2 linked regions of the Lonchura striata genome follow. The protein of the gene in region 1 purifies or fractionates together with the protein of each later gene. This does not show direct contact. Links are inferred from orthologs where the notes say so. Each region holds a gene or a part of one and is shown in the gene's direction. Other genes may lie near its edges.

What was found. Proteins that work in one complex are often made in the same cells at the same time.
Region 2: the proteins of OCIAD1 (region 1) and SLC6A8 purify together in Homo sapiens (co-immunoprecipitation; 3 studies listed by BioGRID and IntAct, with this or other methods). This does not show direct contact. The link is inferred for Lonchura striata from reciprocal best matches to the Homo sapiens genes OCIAD1 and SLC6A8.

The regions. Positions count from the first base shown.
Region 1 is NC_134606.1:26,071,645-26,079,187, forward strand, and holds the start of OCIAD1 (OCIA domain-containing protein 1), read left to right. Parts: upstream 1-4,498; 5' UTR 4,499-4,526; coding exon 4,527-4,577; intron 4,578-5,891; coding exon 5,892-5,976; intron 5,977-7,543. UniProt on the Homo sapiens protein: Maintains stem cell potency. Increases STAT3 phosphorylation and controls ERK phosphorylation. May act as a scaffold, increasing STAT3 recruitment onto endosomes. Involved in integrin-mediated cancer cell adhesion and colony formation in ovarian cancer.
Region 2 is NC_134614.1:15,520,655-15,527,865, forward strand, and holds the start of SLC6A8 (sodium- and chloride-dependent creatine transporter 1), read left to right. Parts: upstream 1-4,168; coding exon 4,169-4,274; intron 4,275-4,538; coding exon 4,539-4,757; intron 4,758-5,105; coding exon 5,106-5,237; intron 5,238-5,821; coding exon 5,822-6,095; intron 6,096-6,171; coding exon 6,172-6,304; intron 6,305-6,552; coding exon 6,553-6,687; intron 6,688-6,778; coding exon 6,779-6,882; intron 6,883-6,985; coding exon 6,986-7,110; intron 7,111-7,189; coding exon 7,190-7,211. Other genes in the region: USP19 (ubiquitin carboxyl-terminal hydrolase 19), read left to right, coding at 3,048-3,188. UniProt on the Homo sapiens protein: Creatine:sodium symporter which mediates the uptake of creatine. Plays an important role in supplying creatine to the brain via the blood-brain barrier.

The DNA.
Region 1 (7,543 bases):
GCTCCCTCCCCGTTGGCTCCTCAGCGTCCGGCCCGCCCTCGAGGCACCGCCCCTCCGCACCGCGGCCAATCGCGACGCAGCGAGGGGCGAGCCGAGCCCCGATTGGCGATGCCCCCGACCCCCTCCCGCTTCCCGTGGCTGTGATAGGCCGGGGCGGCGGCTGGTCCCGCCCCCGCAGCGCTCCGGGCGCCGCTCCCCTCGGGCCGCCCGGGCAGCGCTCCGGCCCGGCTCCGCGCAGCCCCGCGCCGGGCCGGGCCGGCGGGCAGGGCGGCCCAGCATGTCTCCGCGCCCCCGGACAGAGCAGGACCGATCGCCGCCGTTAGGAAGGCCGGTGTCATCAAGGTAGCCGGGAATCAAACGGCTTTCTGGGCACGCAGCGGCGTCGCTGGGAAACATCAAGGAAGTGTCCTGGCTGCTGAGGCGGTGCGGCCCCGCAGAGGTCCCGCCGCGCCGGGCCCGTGCCGTCAGCGCGCTCCTCTCGCCCGCAGGAAGCGGTCGGAAAATCCGCCCTTCCCCCCAGCGAATAAGGGCAAATACTTGTGTCTCGGCCAGCTGCACAATTGAATTTTTTTTTTTTTTTTTGCCAGGAATTACTGGCGTTGTTCTTCCAAGACGAATCGGCGGGCTTCCCTCGCAGAAGCAGCCTGGCTCCCAGGAAGCCTGCGGGGCAGGGCAGGGCAAGCTGCCGCCACCCCGGCGTGGCATATAAAGCACTTGCACTGCTCTGGCTATTGGATATTCGCTTTGATTTCATGTAGCTCCGCAGGCGCCAGGCTCCAAGGTTTATCGCAACGCACTAACAGTGAGTCGGAGTAGTAAGATAATTATTATTATCATCCTCAGAAAACTGAGCCGATACTGGGACTAGCCGGGATTTCACTAATACAACAAGTCTGGTGGTTGGAAATAACAATGTATTTCTAAAAAATGCAAAGATCAGGGAGCCAATGTTAACACAACAGTACCAACATTAACATTTTAACAGGTTAAAAAGTAACTATATTTTTTGTTAAAGTGCCTCAAAGCGTCCAGGCTTTAAAAAAAAAAAAAAAAAAAACCAACAACGGGGTGGGGGGAAAGAAAGAAAAATAAATACATGTCAAGTGTGACAAAATAACACAAGATTTGCAAAACATTATTAGAAAGAATCCTGAAGTCAACATTTTCCCACTGTCAAACATAAGCCTGTCATTCAAGTACTGTATTATAATAAGCATTGCCAAGAAAAGTGGAACTGAGGGAAAAGTACAAAGAACAAATGCACCAGCACAACAGTTGTAAAATTTTCTATTAGAAGTTCAAAGTTCTGTACCACACTTGGTACAATTATAGTTTATTTGCAGTAAAAGCCCCTCCATGCTCAACTACTTGTGTCCATGTGCTGCATACCCTTAAGACACATGATGTACATCAACTTGCAGAAACCAGTAGGAAAAGAAAGCAGGAGAGGAAGAAAAAGGTATCCTGGTAGCTGAGCTTAAGTCTTCCCTGTATATCTAAGAATTTTGTGGAGTACTTTTTACAATTGTACTACAGTCCAAGCATGGGTGATAGAGCACCTAACAGGACAAAAAGGATTCATTGCTACTGGTGTTGTGCATCATTTCACACAATTGATTGAACAAAGTATGTCACAAGTTGCTTCTGATTTTGAAGTTATTCTGAGTTAGGGCCACAGTGATCTTCCCAATAAATGCAGATAACAGATAAAAGCAGCAGAACCTCACCACCAATGAAAATCAGATCACTGGTATTTAACCCTGAGCACCTGAACTTCACAGGATGTACAATCACTTTCAGAACCCAAATGCTCCTTTACATGCCAACTTTACAAAATAGCTCTAAGGATCAGCTAACATGTAAAATAATTTTCAAAATACATTACAGTACCAGTTAATATTAATGGAAATCATTATCTATACAGGTAAAGTCCTTACTAATTGAGGCTTTGACTATCAGCTCCTCAAAGACACCCACTCTTGGTTCTTGCTGATGTGCCATAATGCTTCAGGCAAATAACTGATTCTTTGTTTGCCACCAGTTGCAGTAGTTACAACAATGATTTTTTTTTTTTTTTTTTGGTATGAGGCACTGTTATTTCCTCATTAGGGAGATATTTTTCCAAATACAGTCCTGTTAACTCTTGGCAGCCACCAGAATCTCTCAGCTGTTGCATTTTACTGTATTGTCCAGTACACCAAGCAAAAAAAAAAAAAACCAACAAAAAAAAAAATCACCATTCACATTGTTCTTTGTAATTGAGTACATACACTTCCAGTACTTGTTTTAGAGAGTTTCCTTACCAGATCAGCGTTTACTACAACTATTTCATATATCTAATAGTTTCAGTTATGTCTTATACAGCATTGTAAAACTTGTTAGGCCACCTCTTTGTTTTGCAGTGGAGTTATATAAAACCTCTCACTGACTGTTAACAAGGGAATGAAAAAAATTTAGCAAAAACAGAAACTTTTAAACCACTTGACAGACTGCACAGAGCTCACCCTAATAATTCTTGGAGTTCCATCTTCAAGAGTTCTGAATATTCACCACTTTGCTTTGCAAAGTACTGCTATTAGAAACCATGTGATTTTCACACTTTCCGACTTGTTAACCTAAGTAATCAGCTCGTTTTAAAAGAATCTCGTGATTTTAAAGTTTTCATTTTTCTTTCGAGGCATCTCCTTCACAAGAAATAAATTCCAATTTCTAAAGGTTAATTATGAAGTTTTTTATTACAGTATTTTGAATCTCAAATATATTCTTCATTCTTGCATAATACTAAGTCATAAAGGAGAAAAAGTTTAAGAGGCATAGATACGTGAGTTGTAATACTTCTAAAAATAATTTTGACTCATAAAGTGGCCTAAAAATATATAACTTTATGATATTACAAATAATCTATTATTTTTGTGTTTAAAACAATACAAAACAGCAACGATAAAACATCTGCTGAAGTGTCAAAGCACCATTGTGCCTATTGGTAAAACAAACAGTTCAAGATCCCTGAGAGTTTTTACCTTAAAAAATACTCTAGTGCATAGATTTGTAAACAAAAATTGGCATATTGCATAATGGCACCTGTTAAAGCAGAAACTAGAGAAAACAGTATTCAAGAAACGGGTTAAATATCTAGCCTTAAGCCTTGCAAGAGAACAACATTTCATGTTTATCAGAAGGACTTGGTGATGCAATCACCAATTGTAAACTGAAGTTCTCTTAGTTACATGAAAGATAGCATGATTATAAAGGAAGCTGTAAAAAAAAGACCAGAGGGTCAGAAAGGGTGTCCTTGTTAACATTTATTTCAATGAATGAACTCCAAAAACAGGTCTTGAGTACAGAGAATGAAGTCCCAAGGATGTAGATATGCCCTACAATCTATTTCATGTATGGCTCTACAACTGAAGTTCTAAGCCAGCAAATGGATGTATGTAGCCAGGTGAAACCTTAAAGTACCTCACAAGCAGGCTGTACAATATTTTTGAATGGATGGTAAACTCACCAGTCTGCTGCATGATTTTAGTTTTTTCCCCATTAGAAGTCTAAGAGACTTGAATACAGTAAAGTGAGAAAACTGAATGGATAACTATCAATCTTACAAGAGAGGAGCAAAACAGCAGCTCAGAGTCATCAGCAGCTCAAGCATGGCCAACCCCACAAAAATAAATTAAAAATATATGTATTTTATGATAAGAGGTATGAATAAAAGAACCCCAGTATACATAGTTTCTGGTTCTATTCACCTATCTTGTTTCAAGAATCCTATCTCCTCTATAGCTTTCATTAGTCTATTTGCCCTATGCCCTTCACATGTTCACAGTGTTCCTTTTATAGTTCTCTACCAATTTCAGACCTTCAATCTCAAAGACCTTCCTTCTCCTATCTTCAGGCATGGGCCCTTTATGTACAGCCATCAGAAAGCTGCAATTTAAACCAGATTCTGGGGTAAAGAGACAATGGCTTGCTCTGCAAAAGGCTTAAAGGGAGTGGTACATTCCACAGGCAAGTATGGGCATATCGGCATATGGCGAGCTCAAGCCACAGTACTGCTTGTTTACAAGAACATGTCAAGGCATACCTTGCACTATGAAAACCTTTCTTTTCCCCCTCAGCTTCTCCTTATTTCTCAAAAACTGCAGGCACCCGCTAGAGCTGCCATGGCATTGACTAGAATCAAGCACACAACTCCCTAGTCTTCTACTCCATGACAATTCAAATTTATACTGCTCTCGAGCTCAAGAGTTGCCCAGCAGCCATCGCTTAGTCCTCACCCAGAAAACCTCTTTTTTTAGGCAACAGAGATGCTTTCCTTCTAGGCAATTCTGGCCAAGCATCTTCAGCAAGCGGGTAGCAATGCTGGGGGTACCGTACCGCCATCCGGAGCCGGCAGGGACGGACAGAAGCTTTTGCCGTTCCCGAGAGCGCGGCCCGCGCCCAGCGCCGGCGGTGCCGCCGCCCCGCGGCGCCCGCGCACGCGCACCGCGCCCGGCGTGCGCCGCGCGCACTTCCGGGTCGCGGCGGCCATGGAGGCCGGGCAGGGCCCCGGGCCCGGCCCCGGCGGCGACGCGGCCCAGGTAACTGCGCTGGCTCGGCTCGCTCCGCGGGGAAACCTGGCGGGGCCGGGCGGGCTCGGGAAAGGGGAGTCCTGTCGGCCTCTCGGCCGCCCCTGCCCTGAGCTCCACGCCGGGCCGGTGCCCTTGAGGCCTCTTGGGGGCCGGGTGGGGGATCCTGGCAGGAGGTAAGGAGGTGTTCCTGTCTGACCGTGAGACATCGAGGTGGCATCTTGGCCTGTATCAGGAATAGTGTGGCCTGCAGGAGCAGGGAAGTCACCATCCCCCTCTACTCGGCAGTGGTGAGGCCATACCTCAAGTATCGCGTTCAGATTTGGGCCACTCGGTTCAGGAAGGGCGCTGAAGTGCTGGAACATGTCCAGAGAAGGGCAGCCTCGTGAGGGGTCTGGCGTACAAGTCTTATGAGGAGTGGCTGTGGGAGCTGGGGTTGTTTATCCTGCAGAAAAGGAGCCTCAGGGAGACCTTATCACTGTCTACAACTGGTTGAAAGGAGCTTGTAACCAGGTGGGGATCGGCCTCTTCTCCCAGGCAACCAGCGATATGACAAGAGAGCACAGCATTAAGCTGTACTAGGGGAGATTTAGATTAGACATTAGACGGAATTTCTTCACAGGAAGGGTCGTTAGATTTGGAATGGACTGCTCAGGTAGGTTCTGGAGTCACCGTCCCTAGTGGTGTTTTAGGAAAGACTGGACATGGCACTTAGTGCTACTATTCAGTTGGAAGTGGTGTTCAGTCCTGGATGACCTCAAAAGTCTTTTCCAACCCAACTGATTCTGCAACTCTCTGTCCCCCTGGTGCCAATGGCCTTCTCACCGCTGTGCTTCTCCTGGCTGGCAGTGTGCCTGGCGGGACAGGGTCAGCACCTCCACACAAACCTCTCACACACTGGTGAAACAGCAGGTCAGCTCTCGCTGAATTGCGTCTGTGTAAACCAACAACACACCCTGTTGTCCTTGAAACCATGAGGAATACTTCGAAAAGGCGATTAATGGTCTGTCAGATGTCAGCTATTTGGAAGGCTGGTTAGAGGGACCAAAGCAGGCTTTTCTGAAGTAAAAGGACTGAGCTAAGTTGGGATCTGACTATGCACAAAGTATTTCCTGCTCTCTCCTATAATTTTTAGAAGCAATGGATTTTTTTTTTAATTACATATTTCATGTAACATTTATGGACAAAAGGCACTGGTTTCTTAAGTATAACAGGGTGAAAGTGTAGAAACTACAAGGTATGAAAGTTAGACATTAAGTTTATTGATTGAAAAATGCCCCCTAACTGTTTTGTCCATTCTTTTCTAATTACTTTTCCTAATGAAAGAGGGAAGTACCAAAGCCTTATGTTCCAACAGAGGAGGAAAGAAGACTCCTCAAGGAATGTGCTGAAGAGAGTTTTCGGTATAGAGGTAAGCTCACTATGCTGGTAAACTTGCTTGCTTTCCTTACACCCTTTGCTTTTGCTGAGGCATTACAGAGGGCCTGGGTCAATATAGCACAACAGAGCATTAATGAGCTTCACATGTACTGGAATTGTGTCCCAGCAAATGCTGATCCATGTAGTATTTACTAAGAGTTTGCAGCAGTTTCATAAAAGGTACAGCATAATTTCTAAGTTTCATACCTCATAAAAAGATCTCTTCATATTTTAAGTTATTGTGGTTATTAAAAGTCTGAAAATAGATCTAATTAATGAGTCTCATTGATATTACTGGATTTTCTTTTTTGTGTTATTTCTGCATTTTTATTTTCATATTTTATTTTTATCTTTAACATGCAAGAATAAAATAGTTTAACTTATAACCATTGCTTTTCATTTTTATAGAGACCTCTGAAGAGAACAATATATAGGTAGTCACTCTGTTGAATTTTTGGAGAAAATTGCTGTGTCAGTGCATGGTGTCTGTAACCCTAAGGTTCAAGGCATACTTGATTTTTGTACACCTGGTCACGAGGATTAAAAAGGCCTTCTGATGTGATTGTTACCTGCTGTTTTATCACGCACTAGTAGGTTACTGATGCTGATAGATGGCTTGGCAAAAAACAGGAGATGAAGAATTCAGTGGCTGATTTGCTAATTTTAGCACACTGGGGCTCTGATTTCTCATGGAAGCCAATACTTTCAGGGACAGCTCCTAAGGCATTGTGATTTTGAATTAATGATTCAAAGTTCTGTTTTGTCTTTCTCCATTGGTTTGGCATTCTCCTCATCCACTTTTACACAAATACTTGGAAATCTTCAGCATATTTGCTACAATGTAGCCATGTTCTGTGTCATTTTATAAGCGAAAGAGGCAGGTCCATTAGTGGTATGATGATGGTTATGGTTTATTGATAATCTCTCTTTTGGAAGACAAAGACGAGAGACAGTTGTTTGTTCCTAAGCTGTTCTGCTGCTTGGCAGTGTAGGTTACTGTCCTGTGCATCTTTATATAGTCCCTGAAGAAACAACATGTAGGTATTACTTGAAAGCCCTAAGTTAGTTTCTTGAGTCATTTCCCTTTAGGGAACTACAACAGTAACAGTTTTTTTTCCCAGGGGTTGTGTACTGTGCTGTTATCTCACTGTGATAGCCTAAAGTCCATCACTGTGTTCTAGGTCTCCTGTCTTTGTTTCCCTGGTCCGCATACACATACCAGACTGTTGTATTCACTGTATTAAATACATATTGCTTCAACACCCCTTTGCAAGAGGGTGCTGGTGTGACTGCCCTAAAATCCTCACTTTGTATTTTGATAGCTTTTGTTATTCACTGAGGTTACTATAAATTTGTGTATTTTCAGTTTGTTTATTCAAATTTCAAGCTGTAGCAAATTTTACTCATTCTTACAAGCTGTCTGTTTTGTCATAGTTTCTTTTGACAGCTTCTGCCACTAGTCATTTCACAATTGAGTTTAATATGTGCTTTACTGGAGTTACTGGTTTGTAATCACGTTATCGTATAAATTCTTACTCTTAAAAATGCACACTACAACC
Region 2 (7,211 bases), on another chromosome or scaffold:
CTGGTTCCCCTGCGGTAATGGGATGCATTGGATCCCAGTGGGGCTCAGCAGGTCCCCAAGCACCCTGGACCACCTGCACCCTCCGTGGCACTCGGTGCCCTCCAGAGACCTGCTCCCTGACTGGCTTCTCTGCGCGATCACCGACATGAAGGGCCAAGCCGTGGCTGGCTGCCTGTGGAAAATCCTTCTGGAACCTGGGCTACAATTGGTTGTCAGAGCATTCCTACCCACCAAAGCAGAGCTGTGACTGGCTGTACTGGCACTGTGCCTCCTGCTCCTGCTGCTCCAGCTGGCTCTGGATTGGCTGTCATTTGAAAGATCCTGTCGGGATCACAGAAGCTGGGCTGTGACTGGCTGCTGCCTGCTCCCTTGCCTCCTGGATCCACCAATGCAAGTGCATCTGCTCCATCGGGATCCAGCTGCTGGCTTCACTCCCTGCAGTCCCGTGAAGACCCTGCCCCGCAGCTGCCCACGCTCCTTCCCACAAAGCCACCCACCGGAGCTCCACACACCAGAGACCCTGAAGAGCTGCGGGGGCGGGCGTGACCACAACGGTGCTGCATGGGGAGGCGGGCTGGCTGGCTGGGCACGGGGCTGGGCTTGCAGGCAGCTGCCTGCCCCGGGGGATGGCAAGGGGTGTTGCCCGTTGTGTTCTCCAAGTGCTGACGCAGGTTTCCACATCGCAGGCTTCTCTGATCTGGCAGGAACTGGAGGCTGAAGAACAAGAGCTGCAGCTTGAGGCACCCCAAAGGCCTGCAAGAAACTCTTGGAGGCCCTGTGGCCAGAAGCGAACTCCGGGCACCCCCCACCACCCAGATGAAGGCTGCATCAGATACTTTGTCCTGGCCACCACAGCTGCAATTGTGGCTCTCTTCCTGAACGTCTTCTACCCGCTCATTTACCAGCCCCGCTGGAGATAGGCCCAGGCGCGTGGCCAGCTGCGGGAGCAGGGCCGCCAGGGCACGCGCCGTCCTAGGACGCTGTGAGACGAAGACATGAGGCAGCAGGACAGAAATCGCTGGGAAAGACTCGCCAAGGGAAACATGGGGCTGTCGGCTCCTGTCTGTCTGCCCTGGCATCTCCTGTGCCAGCTGGCAGGCCTGTGTGGCCAGCCTACTACCTTGCCAAAGCACAGCCCAGAACCAGAAACTCCTTTGCCCTTCCTTGCTGCCCACTGGGAGTGGGGCAGGCCTCAAGGCTACCTGCTGCTCAAGAAGAGACGTTGCTGCTGCAGAGTTGCTGGGGCCTGAGAGCCCTGTGGGCACATCAACCATCTCTGCTTGGCTCCCAAGAAAGAAGTGGAGACCTGCCGGGAGGCTGCAGCAAGGGCAGGATGCCCTGACACGGGCCCTGGCTTGGCCACCTGTCTCAGCTGTGCTGCTGCACGAGCCTTGAGCTCCCCTGGGGCTGGGGCTACCCACGGTCCTTGGCCAGCCCAGTCTGCCCTGCTAGCCTTCTGCTGAGCCTTTTGGTGCCAGCTAGCTGCCTGTGCGCTGGGAGTGTGTCTGCTGCGCTCCTGTGCTGGGGCTTGTCACCAAGGACTTGTGTGCTTCCTTGCTGAGCCCCAGACAGCTGTTGGGGAGCCTGGCAATCCAGACTGAGGTGCCCATGGTGAGCACTCATCTCTGTGGGTCACTGCCTCCCACCAGTCCGTGGGGCTGTGTGCTGACAGCATCTGGGGGAGTTGTCTCTTCATGGCAGTGTGATGCAACACCTCATTTGCGAGGGTACCAGCTGCCCCTGCTGTGGGAGAGGCATGGAGGGAACATAGATATGACCATGGTACATTAATAAAGCCAGGTTTTCCAAAGAATTGCAGCATTCCTGTCCTGTGTGCTGGGACTCCCACACAGAGGCGAGGACTCCACACTGGGGTCACCTGAGGCCGCTCTGTGACCCAGCTGGCACCAGGACCATCTCTTGGGCTTTGCTGGGTGTCTGGTGCACCCTGTGTGGCAGCAGGCTCAGGGGAGAGCTCTGCCTGCTCATGCCATGGGGCACAGGCTGGGCTCTAGTCCCAGCTGCAGAGTGAGAGCCTCACGGGACACGTGCAGGGCGTAGGGAGACCAGCAGGGCCAGGAGCAGGCAGTCCCCTGAGGCTGGAGCACAGGCTGCTACTCCAACCGTGTCTGACATTGAGACGTGTTGCCCTTGGCTGAGCGTGGCTCACACAGCTCTGGCATATTTGGGTGTGAGAGGTGACTTCAGAGCCCTGTGACTTTCTTTTCCATCTCCACTGCTGTTCTGCTGGCAGTGCCCTCAGCTGGCCCGGGAAGGATGTTTTTGCAGTGAAGGGGTTTGTTTGCATTTTAGGCTGGAGGCTGAGCTGGACTCCCCCTACCTCTGTCCCTCTTCCACGTGCTGAGGTTTACTCCCCTCCCAAGCACGTCCCAGCCGGGGAGCCCGTCAGGGCTGTGCCGTGGTCATGAGGTGCCTGTCCTGGAACAGTTGCCTCATTGTCTACAGCCCTGGGTCTCAGCAGCTTCCCCCGCTCACCCACAGTGCTGGCCTCGTGGGTCTGAGTCAGTGCCCGGCGCCGGTGGGCTGACCTCTGCTCCGACTGGTGCTGGCACCCCAGGGTTGGGGCCCACAAGCTGCTGCCTGCACCTACCTGCCCTCATTGGCGGTGGGTGGCCGGCAGCTAGGCCTGACAAGGTGCTCTCAGCCCTGGAAATCCCCTCTGGCCCTGCTGTGTTCCTCAGACCTCCGGCAGGCACTGGCAGCGTGCCCGTGGCCTGTCCCTGCTGCCCGTGCTGGGTGCAGGGCTCCGCTCCGACCGCCAGTGGCTGAGCAGCCCTGGGGCAGGAGTGTGCTGCGGCCTGGCTCTGCTGCAGGGCCGGAGGGGCTGCCTCCAGCGGCCCTGGGCACGCTGCTTCCCTCTGCCCTGCGTGGGGCTTGCCACCAGCTGCTGCTCTCTAAGCCCAGGGGCTGCACATTCTGTATGTGGGGCTGTCCCCCCGGGCACCTCTCCAGCCCCTCAGGAGCAAGGGAGGGAGATGGGTGGGCAGGGTGCAAGTCTCCCTCTCATGCCCACCTTCTGCTTGCAGGGTCTGCCCCCGGTGCCGTTCGGATCCGGCCTGGCCCCCGAAGGAGCCCCGCCGCTGGCTGCGGAAGGCCTCCCCGAGCGTTTTGCCAGCCCCGCCGAGTGCCCAGCCCCCTCCTACAGCAGCATGGAAGAAGTCGACTAGGGTGTCATGGGGGGCCTGGCCTGGGAGTGTGGGCCAGGCACTGGGGGGTGGGGGGATGGGGGAATCGGGGTTTGTCCTGCGCTCATTAAACTCTCTGAACTCCACTCGCCTCTGCTGCCTGCTATCCCTTGGACCCTCTGCCTGGTGCGTCGGGGCACCATGTCCCCAGTGTGCTGTTAGGACTCCCAGCACGCTGCTGCCCCGGGTGCCCTCGTGCTCCAGTGTTCCCTAGTGTGACTTGGTGCTTGCTATTCCCCAATATCCCTCGGACCGATGCCATTGCCGGGTGGGGGACACGGTGTTCTGTGGTGCCTGCTGCCCCGTGTGCTCTGCTGCTGGCAGCACCCTGTTGTCTGGTGTCCCCTGGTGCAAATCGTGTGGCTTTAGTCCCTCGTGTCTTATCCTGTGCCCTGTTGCTGGTGGGGCGAGATGTGCAAGTCCCGGAGTTCTAGCGCCTGTTACGCGCTGAAGTGCCTTGTCTGCCGCTGTCACCTGCTGACCCTAGCGCTCGCTCCCTGGTGTCCCCGGGTGTGCCCTGCTGCCTTGTGTCTCCCGTGCCCGGTGTCCCCCGTTGCCAACGCCGTCCCTCGCGGTCCGTAGTGCCCGCAATCCCGCCGGGTGCGCCTTGTCCCGCCGTGCCCCCCGCCTCGCCCCGGGGCCGGTGCCAGTGCGTCGGAACTGCAAGTCCCGTCAAGCCGCGGGCGGGCGGCGCGGCCAATGGGGCTCGGGGGGCGGTGCGGCCGGTCGCTGCCTCCGCCGCCGCCCGGTGCCGCGGCGCAGAGAGCCCCGGAGCGGCCGCGCGGCGCCGGCCCCGCAGCCCGGCTCTGAGCCGCCCGCCCGGCCCGGCCCGCCCCGCCGCGCCCCGCCGCCCTCAATGAGGTTCTTCCGACTCACCTTCAAGTGCTTCGTGGATTGCTTCTGAGCCCCCCTCGGCCACGGAGCCGCCCCCGACCCGCCCCCGCTCCCCGGCCCCCCGCGACATGCCCCCCGTTCCCACCGACACGGCCGCCCCGCAGCCGCCCGACGCCCCGCGACGCGACGCCGCCGCCACCACAGCCGCGGCCGCCGCTGCCCCCGCGGGCTCCGGTAAGCGGGGAGCGCCGGGGAGGGATGAGCGTGGGGAGGGGAAGAGGGGGGCCCACGGCCACGCGCGACCGCGGCGCGCCCCCTCCCGCCGCCGCGGGGTGAGTCACCGCTCTGCATTGTGACGTCACGCGCCGGCCTGACATCTGACGTCACGCCCCTACGCGCGGAGAGGGGCGCGCGTGGGGGGCGGTGCTTCCCCCCCCCGCGCCCCCACGGGCGCGCGTGACGGCGGCGTGGGCATCCCCACTCCCCCCGTCTCGGCAGAAGGCTCCGGCGGGGCGGAGGGCACAGAGCCCCCCACGGCGGGCGAGGAGCGAACAGTGACGGCACCGCTGGTGCGACCCCCCGGTCCCCCCAAAGAGGCCGTCCCCGAACGGGAGACATGGACCCGGCAGATGGATTTCATCATGTCCTGCGTGGGCTTCGCCGTGGGGCTGGGCAACGTCTGGCGCTTCCCCTACCTGTGCTACAAGAACGGCGGAGGTGAGGCTCGTGCTCGCCCCACGCCGCGGGAGTGCGCCCCGCGGCGTGGGGGGCACCCCCTGCCGCCCCAGAGTGTGTGCCTGGGGGTCACCCCACGCTGGGTCGGCTCGCCCTGAGCCTTCGAGGGGCTCGTGGGCCACCCCGCGGGGTTCCGGAGTCACTCACGGGGCGGGGGGTCGTGGGAGCCCCCCAGCACCTGCCCGTGCTGACCTACATCGCGGGAGGGGAGGGCGCGGAGGCGCCTTTGCCATTCGCTGCGTCCGGGCGGGCGGCGCGGGGAAGGGGGGAGCAAAAGGGGGGGCCGGGGGGACGGCGGCGGCTGAGCCGGCCCCCTGCCCCCGGCCCCAGGCGTCTTCCTCATCCCCTACCTGCTCATCGTCTTCGTGGGCGGCATCCCCATCTTCTTCTTGGAGGTGGCTCTGGGACAGTTCATGAAGCAGGGGGGCATCGCCGCCTGGAACATCGCCCCCCTCTTCAAGGGTAACGCCGCGCCCTGCCCGCACCCTGCCTGCACCCTTTCCGCAGCCCCTGCACCCTGCCCAGGGCCCCCGGCACCCTGTCTGCACCCTGACTGTGCCTCGGCTGCACGAGCCTGCTGGGGCTGGCAGCACCCTGCCCACGCCCTGCCTGCTCCCCTGCACCTTGCCCGCGTCCCACTGCCGCCAGTGCCGTGGCCAAGGATGGCAGCTGCCTGCACCTGTGCCCCGTGGCACCCTGTGCTGCCCTGCCTGCCTTGCCTGCCCCTGTGGCTCCTTGCCTGCATGCTGCTGGATCCCAGGCAGCTGCTGGATCCCCACCTCCAGAGGTATCTTGCCGGCTCCCCCCTGGTCCTGTGCCATGCTACCAGCTGTCCCCACCCTGTCCTGTCCTGCCTGGGCCTGCCAGCTTCCCTGTCCCATTCCCACCAGCTCTCCCGTGTCCTGTCCAGGGCTGCCAGCTTTCCCTGTCCTGTCCCTGTCAGTTCTCCTCTGTCCTCCCCCATCCCTACAACACCCCGCATCCCACTCCATGCTGGTGGTAGATGCCCACAGGTGCCTGCGGGCTCTGATCCCCCCGTGCCACAGGTTTAGGCCTGGCCTCTATGGTGATCGTCTTCTTCTGCAACTCCTACTACATCATGATCTTGGTGTGGGGGCTCTTTTACCTGGTGCATTCGCTGACAAACACCCTGCCCTGGGCCACCTGTGGCCACTCCTGGAACACGGAGCAGTGCACGGAGCTCTTCAACCCGGACTTGTGCCACAATGTCAGCACGAATGCCACTGCCATCACTTGGACCTCCAACTTCAGCTGCACCGACATGTCCAACAAGCGCTCACCTGTCATTGAGTTTTGGGAGTGAGTGTGGGAACCAGGAGGGTGTTGTCTGGGGCTGGGGGTGTCTGCTGGTGCTCAGCACAGCCCCGCTCTGCAGGAACAAGGTGCTGCGTCTCTCTGGGGGCCTCAGCGAGCCAGGGGAGATGAACTGGCAGATGATCATCTGCTTGGTTACCACCTGGATCGTTGTCTACTTCTGCATCTGGAAGGGTGTCAAGTCGACTGGGAAGGTAATGCTGGCGGGGGGAACATGCATCAGGGCCACAGGCATGAGAGAAGACTGCAACACATGGCACTGCTGGCTCCTGCCCTCCTGTGCCACAGCCCACAGGGGTGGGAGGCCTGTGTCCCACATTTGTCCAGGAGGTGCTTCCAGCTGCTGGGGACATTCCCAACCTCTGGTCCTGCTGGGACACCTGTGGCATGTGACAGAGAGCTCTGGCCTGGGGGGGTCTCATGGCCACCCACTGCTCTTCAGATTGTCTACTTCACGGCACTCTTCCCGTATGTGGTCCTCATCCTCCTGCTGTTCCATGGAGTAACACTGCCTGGCGCGCTGGGTGGCATCATCTACTACCTGAAACCTGACTGGTCCAAGCTGGTTGAGGCACAGGTGAGGGCACCGGGGAGAGCAGCAAGGAGCTGGGTGCTGGACAACGCCCTGGCACCCTCATCACCCCCTGACATCCTCCCTCACGTCCCAGGTCTGGATTGATGCTGGCACCCAGGTGTTCTTCTCCTACGCCATCGGGCTGGGTGCCCTGACTGCACTGGGCAGCTACAACCGCTTCCACAACAACTGCTACAGGTAGGGCTGTGCCAGCTGCAGGCAGGCGCCCTGCTGTGTCCCAGTGGCCCCCTGGGGTGTCCCCCAGTGCCCCCCAGCACTTCCTTACATGCTGTGCCCACAGGGATGCCTACATCCTGGCTGTGATCAACAGCTGCACCAGCTTCTTTGCCGGCTTCGTTGTCTTCTCTGTGCTCGGCTTCATGGCCTCTGAGCAAGGCGTGGACATCTCCATGGTGGCCGAGTCTGGTGAGTGATGGGCGGTGGGTGCCAACTGTGTCTTCTGTGTCACCCCTTGAGTGACATCTCTGACCCCACACTCCTGCAGGTCCCGGGCTGGCTTTCATCGC